Drosophila melanogaster: one gene and its partner. The protein of the gene in region 1 interacts with the protein of each later gene in a pairwise test. Each region holds a gene or a part of one and is shown on either strand. Other genes may lie near its edges.

Region 1 (4,425 bases):
GGATCGATTCCAATCAGGGAGGCATACTCATTGATTTCTGTGCAGGAAAAAATGGTATATACATATTTAAATAAAAATTTGTTGCACAACTTTTAACAATTAATAATGAAATATGCTCTCAATATATTGTTTTAGCATAGTGAAGGAGATGAAAATGTGTTTGGTAATTTTTACAGGCTATAAAAAAAAGACGATAAAAACTAGTATATAACCCTATTTTATATACATATATATTTTTTTGTAAAATTTTAAATTTCTATTCTTTTGATTTTCTTCTTTATTTTCAACTTGAATATATAATATATAATAAAATTGATTTTTGCAGGATAAAAAATGTCTTTCATTGATGTATATATATGTATATACCTAAGAACATATGTATATGCTCCAAATGGTCAACACGCCTACCTCAATCGTTATACACATGTAAGAAATCACTTTTTATTGGATTCGAGGCAAACGAATTGCTTGCCAAACGTGAATTTTCACCGGAAAAGCCGATATTACATACTCTCACCCACAATTGGGGTAACTAGTCAACGGAACTTACCCTCCGATGAGGGGAAACACGCCTCGTCGAAAACCTCCTCGCAGATGACGGACGACGAGCCCTGGGATGATGATGATGGTGTGGCTGGGAGGGATTTGGTTAACTCAGCGGACGCCGTGCTCGAGGAGATCCTCTTGCACACGCTGGTCGTCGTCATAATGGGTACTTTAACTGGATTTCACTAACCGAAGAAACTCGAGCGGAGCTAGCGTTTTCGTTGCTCCGGGAGTTATCCGTACTCGAAGTGTCGTTCAATATATTTGCATATATTGTTATACTTTTCGGATTTGACATTCATAGTTCTCCATACTATTCCTTAGCGAGTCCTGCCGACAGCGGAGCAAATGCCAGAATAATCGGATGCAGTTTGACCTAAAAATGAAAATACAAATACCTACTGAGTCATCGCTATACCACTCAGTATGTGCGTGTGTCCATGTCGGAGCATGCTCCGAACGTGGGTTGCTGGCCAATTATCTGGTTGGCAACAGGATATTGCAGCGAGTTTGCGTGTCCGCGCAGCCCGACGACTCCCAGGTTCCAGGTCCCTGTCCTTTCCACCACGAAAGCAGACGAACAGAGCCTCAAAAGGAAAATACCATGGTTTTAATACTGTCGTTATACTATCGCAGGAAAACACCTGAGAAATAAGGGTGTGGTGTGTCCTTATTTCGGGCAAATTCCACTTATGCTCGTTTTACATGAAAATTGATTCCTTCGTTTAGATTCCCTTACCTTTTCGTTAGCGTTTCAAGGGTTTTCTTTAGAAAACTATGTTGTTTTATGCACAATTACCAAAAATGATATTTCAGGATCCTGATTAACAAGCTTAATATGCCCTCTTTTTAAGCATATTTAATAAATTAAGGTATTCTATTGGTTTTAAAGCGTTTTTAATAAATTAAGGTATTCAATTTGCTTTGAAGCATTTTTAATAAATTAAGGTATTCAATTTTCTTTTCAGGAGAGCTAAAGTATAAAAATTCATGGAATTGACTGTAATATTTAAAAAAATGAACATAAGGTATTGTACAAAATGGGTGGCATATGATTTGATTAGGAGTATTATAAAGGTTTCGTTTAAAATACATTGTAGCGACATTAAAAAGGATTTATTACTCAAACAGCTGTTCTTAATGAGCGGTATTACTCAAGTATTGGGGTTTTTAATTCTATGCGGGTTTAAAAGAGTTTACTAATTTAATATAGTTTAATTCCCAATTTCATACTGCATGTTTAATTTTTATGCACAATATAAAAACAACTGATTCATAAATTCATATTTTTCAAACATATATCCAAACATATAGATAATGCTTAACTAGGAGTGTGAAAATAATGATTTCACTTATTTTGATAAGATGTGACGCTGTGGAAACGCACCGAAAGCTTTAATACCAAACCAAAATTAGTAAGACCTTTTGTTTCGGTAATTACCATAGGATTGTTCCAATTATACTTCAAAACAATTGGATATTATGTTTAAAACACCACCCAGTCCTGCCTGAAAATAGTTAATAATATAAATATCCAACTAGCAAAGAAGACGAAAAGTTATGGCGGGAATGAATGAGTACTCTAGCCTAAAGTATGTAAAATGGTATAATATATAATCACGATGCCATACTAATAAACATCATCCATTTATAGATTTCAAGCGGAGTATGAAACGCACGATGATCACCTGGGCAAGGAGCATCGGACTGGGGACCGGGATCAACATTTACCCGTGACCTATGGCCCTAGCAAACACTTGGGAAGCAGGTACATCCGAAATGAATCCGAAATCAATTCATTTGTTAAATTATATAAATTCCCATTAATCAGCCTTGAAGAGCGCGAGAAGGCGATTGTGGACGTCGTCGGCGTACAGTGGGTCTCCCTGGTCACCGAGAACCTGCTTAGCCATCCGTTTGTGGTGCTGCGCCGCCAGTGCCAGGTGTACAATGCCTCGAGACGCTATCATTTGCATCCCTTTCAGCTTCTGCCCAGCATCGTCCACCTGCACAGAAGGCAGGGACTGACGACCCTGTGGAAGGGCGTGGGCAGCTGCCTACTGGTGCGCGGCATGACGCTGGCCATCGACGACTTTATCTCGAAGGTGACCAGCTGGCCCAAGGATGTGAATAGTCGCACCACGCTAAAGCGTTTCGGACAGCATCTCCTGCTCAAATGGTACCCACTTGACACCCTAATCTCGACCATTCTCTTATTCCTTTTCAATTCACAGCATAAGTATCGGCCTGGTGGTGCCCTTCTATGCAGCTTCTCTCGTCGAAACGGTGCAGAGTGATATTGCCAGCGAGAAACCCGGTCTATTCGATGTATTCCGGGAGGGAAGTCTGCGCTTGTTTTATTGGAGCTCTCCGCAAAAGGGCCGTATGCTACCAGCCTGGGCTCTAATCGGGCCAAGTGTCTCCTTTGGCATCACCAAGTATCTGTTTAATCTCGTGATACGGGGCGTGTCCTCACGCATAATGCGGCTTCGTATAAAGAATTCCCAGGACGGCCAGGGTGGAAAGTATCAGGACACCACGCTGGAACAACAGAATGCGGACATCTATGCCAGCCTTATTGCTATCATAACCACTGAGGTCATGTTCTTCCCGTTCGAAACGATTCTACACCGTCTGCAATTGCAGGGAACACGAACTATAATCGACAACCTCGACAATGGCTACGATGTCGTACCCATTCTAACAAACTATCAAGGAGTCGTCGATTGCTATCAGACAACGATTGTCTCCGAGGGAGTTAGTGGCCTCTACAAGGGCTTTGGAGCCATGATCCTGCAGTTTGCGGCACACGTGGCCGTCATCAAATTGACCAAATGGGTTGTGAATCAAATCGTAGAGGTCATCTCCAACCGACCACCACAGCGAATAGTGAATTACTATAATCTGGATGAGAATGCTTGCAACTCCAGGTCCACGACCTTGTCGCCAAGCCTTTCCAGTACCGAAATGGGGGAGATTAGTCTTGGGCAGAATTCACAAGACTAGTTAATGGCTAGTCAAATTATATTGCATATGTAAATTATACAAATATTTATTTCTTTTTGTATTTTTCGTTGGGTTTATTGGGACGTTAGCATGAATAATTGTATTTTAAGGGTTTGCTTACTCTGCAGTTGCGTTAAAAAAAAATCTGCCAATTAAAAAATATAACTATTTTAAACACTTTAAACTGAGCTTATATTCTTGCACTTTGTGTCCCGAAAACGTCAGGACCTTGAAATGAATACAGAAAAATTAAGTAAAAACAGCAGATTGTCCTGTGGTTGGTGCGATCGTTTCTATGACAACTAAATGATATGGTTGTGTATACAATTCACGATAAAAAAAAGAGGAAGGAGCCGTTAACTTCACGCTCATTTTGAAGGGAAACAAAACTTTTTTCGAATTCACGATTTTCATTACGACCGTTGGCAAACACACGTACGATTCAAGCTGACGTTTGGATACAGAAGCACAGCTTGAATGTTTGTATTTATATCGAAAGGCATTTATTTGCAATATCCTCGTGATCCAACAAACAATGTATACAACAACTGAACGTTAACAGAACGATATTTAATATGATTTCTGTTCGCAAAATCGTATGTCGTTTGATGTTTCACATTTTAAATATAAGTTCCGATCGTTGCCTTACTTCCTATACCACATCTGGAGCGTCTTCATCCGCTTAACCTTCTTCTGCAGCTGCAAAACGCCGTACATGAGCGCCTCGGCGGTTGGCGGACAACCGGGTACGTATATGTCGACGGGGATTATCCTATCGCAGCCACGGACGACGGAGTACGAGTAATGGTAGTAGCCGCCGCCGTTGGCACAGCTGCCCATGGAGATGACCCAACGTGGCTCGGGCATTTGGTC
Region 2 (2,877 bases), on another chromosome or scaffold:
GATGTACACCAAGTGCAAGAACATTTTGCCCACCACTGTCCATACCAATGAGGAGGTGAAGAAGATTAAGGTGGCCACGCACAGCAACATTGCTCTGTGCCACCAAAAGTCCAACGATCACTTCGAAGCCAAGCAGGAGGTGAGTACATGCGCTCAAATCGGATAATTTATACATTTGACTATTTTATATTAGTGTAATGAGGTTTTGGCTTTGGATAAGAACAATGTAAAGGCTCTCTACCGTCGTGGCCAATGCAACTTGACTATCAATGAGCTGGAAGATGCACTAGAGGACTTCCAAAAGGTAACCAAGATAAACGTATATTTATTGAGTTAATACAATGTATTGCTATTTATTCGATTAGGTCATCCAATTGGAGCCTGGCAACAAAGCGGCTGCCAACCAAGTGATCATCTGCAAGCAGAAACTCAAAGAGAGCAAGAACAAGGAGAAGAAACTCTATGCCAACATGTTCACCAAACTGGCTGCCAACGACAAAGAGGTATTGCCTACAACTGAATAAATTCAAATAAAGTACAACATTTCTATATCGTTCCTCCGCGTGTTTTCTGCGTTCCTTGAAATCACCAATTTTTCACCGATTGTTAGACCGAACCTCCGCGGGAAACTGACGTGCTGAGCAAGTGCGGAGAGTGGTCTGAAGAGGATGCCAAGCGCGAAGCAGAATTGACGCTGGAGCGCGACAATATAATCATGATCTAATTCAGATCGACTAGTGCTTTAAGAAATATTCCCTAGGGTTTATAATCCCACATCGAAAATCCAGTAATGTAATGAAGAAATGGTCTTAATGCTTATACGAAATAAATATAAACGCTTTGAGAGCTATGTATATCGATGGTCAAGTATTTCGTGGTAGCAGCTGAAAGCTGGGTCTCGTCTCCCTATCTCGCAGCCACAATGGCGATGTGGGCACCTGTGACTTAATATATTCGGAGGCCTTAAAACAGTATCCGGAACAGAATTTCTTGCGTTCTGTGATGTCGTATACTTTGTTTTTGGAAGCGGAGATACTGTACTTTTGCTTGGGAACGCTAAAAGAGTAGTTATAAAGGATAATTATTGGAAGAACCTCTAGATTCTGTTGGAACACTTACTTTTCTAGAACTGTCGAACAAAGTGGATATCCGCAAAGTTTGTTTATTTCCCGCTCATCCACTATGTCTGAATAATTTGGGGGGCCAATCTCACAGAGCTGCGTGTACAGGAAATGCTTAGTCTACCCGTCAAGCTTTTAATTTGCATTATTTTACCAGGGACAGGAACTCGGGCTCCGGTATTCCGGGCTCCAAAAGCCGCACCACGATTTCATGGGCTCTCGCAATCGCCGCTCGTTTCTTTACCACCGCCGCTATCAGTTGTTGTCTGGAAAACAGTGAGTACTTCACTCAGTGATATTGAATATGTATTTATTTTAATTTACCTCAACTGCTCCCCTTTTTCTGTAGTCATTTTACGCTTCCAAAATTTGCAATTGAGATGGTCGATAACAACCTTCGATAGACACTTAGTTGGGAAATATGCGGTCAATCGGTAGCAAACAATCGATATTAATATCAATGGAATGGTCACTCTGTTTTTGCAAAACGTAAATAAAAAACAAATTGAATTGATAACAAAAATGGTTTGCGAGAAGTGCGAGGCCAAGCTCTCCAAAGTTTCAGCGCCCAATCCCTGGCGAACGAGCACAGCTCCTGCGGGAGGACGTAAAATCAACGAGAACAAGGCTTTATCCTCGGCCCGCGAGCGATACAATCCCATAGGGACTGCTTTACCACCTTGCCGGTAGGGAAATCTCCTCAAGAATTCATCTGCATATCTTAATCTGATTTTTAATTATCCAGAATCTGCCGACAGAAAGTGCACCAGATGGGTTCGCACTATTGCCAGGCGTGCGCCTACAAAAAGGCCATATGCGCCATGTGCGGCAAGAAGATCATGAACACCAAGAACTACAAGCAGAGCTCAACGTGATGCAGTTTATCAAAGGATGCACTTAAGACTAAACTAACCATAGACAACAGAATAATTATAACCTATAGTACAACAAATGCCTTACTAATCAGTTCTCGGATGGCGTCTTTTCCCGTTTTCGCTTGGCATTTTGGATCTGGGTTGAGTAGCTCAAGCCGTCTTTGTCGAATTCCAGTGGCATGATGCCCAGGTCGCCGGAATAACGATTCTTGGCAATTTGGAGATACTTCTTGCCCCGCACAGAAGTCAGCCTCTTGTCTTGAATGATCAACACGTTGTCCGCTTCTTGGGTGGCCTTTGCTGTGCCGAAAACCGAGCTGGTGGTCAGCTCGTCCTCCTGCCGCTCCTTGCGCGGATGCATTACGAGTGTCACGTGTACATTGTGCTTGGTGGCAAAGGAGCGAAAGGCAGCTATAATAGAGTCCTGTTCAAAGAACTTGTCGCCTCGAAATGTGGACACGCCCATCATAAATTGCAGATTGTCAATGATCACGTGCATCACATCGTGCACATACGACGCATGCTCGATGGCTTCCAGAACCGGCTTAAGGGGCTGCTGTCCGTGGAAGGTCATAAAGTATAGCGGCAAACGCTCAAACTCCGCTGCCCAGTGGTTAAACTCATGCAACCGGTCGTCCAACGGGTAGCCCACATACTGGCGAAGCAAGGTGGCCGCCAGCCGGGTGTTTCGGATCTCAAAAGAGCCCCACAGCGTGTTTACGCCCTGCATGGCCAGATCCAGAGAGTACTCGCTCATAAAGGTTGTCTTTCCACTACCCGTGGGTCCTGTGAGGATTGTCAACTCTCCCCTCCGATGGCCTTTGAGCAGCTTATTCAGTACTGGAAAGCGCTTCCACTTTACTCCATTGACTTTCTCGATG

What was found.
Region 2: the proteins of Slc25A46a (region 1) and CG4537 interact in a two-hybrid assay, tested with the Drosophila melanogaster proteins (one large-scale study listed by BioGRID).

The regions. Positions count from the first base shown.
Region 1 is NC_004354.4:15,981,814-15,986,238, forward strand, and holds Slc25A46a (solute carrier family 25 member 46a), read left to right. Parts: upstream 1-1,958; 5' UTR 1,959-2,106; coding exon 2,107-2,138; intron 2,139-2,200; coding exon 2,201-2,314; intron 2,315-2,377; coding exon 2,378-2,725; intron 2,726-2,780; coding exon 2,781-3,552; 3' UTR 3,553-3,592; downstream 3,593-4,425. Other genes in the region: Cep164 (centrosomal protein 164), read right to left, coding at 1-37, 551-707; ND-20 (NADH dehydrogenase (ubiquinone) 20 kDa subunit), read right to left, coding at 4,198-4,425.
Region 2 is NT_033779.5:9,889,267-9,892,143, forward strand, and holds CG4537 (uncharacterized protein), read left to right. Parts: upstream 1-1,618; 5' UTR 1,619-1,643; coding exon 1,644-1,807; intron 1,808-1,866; coding exon 1,867-1,996; 3' UTR 1,997-2,070; downstream 2,071-2,877. Other genes in the region: Fkbp59 (FK506-binding protein 59kD), read left to right, coding at 1-139, 194-304, 366-503, 611-724; CG34183 (uncharacterized protein), read right to left, coding at 864-1,056, 1,120-1,217, 1,276-1,387, 1,446-1,474; mtDNA-helicase (mitochondrial DNA helicase), read right to left, coding at 2,085-2,877.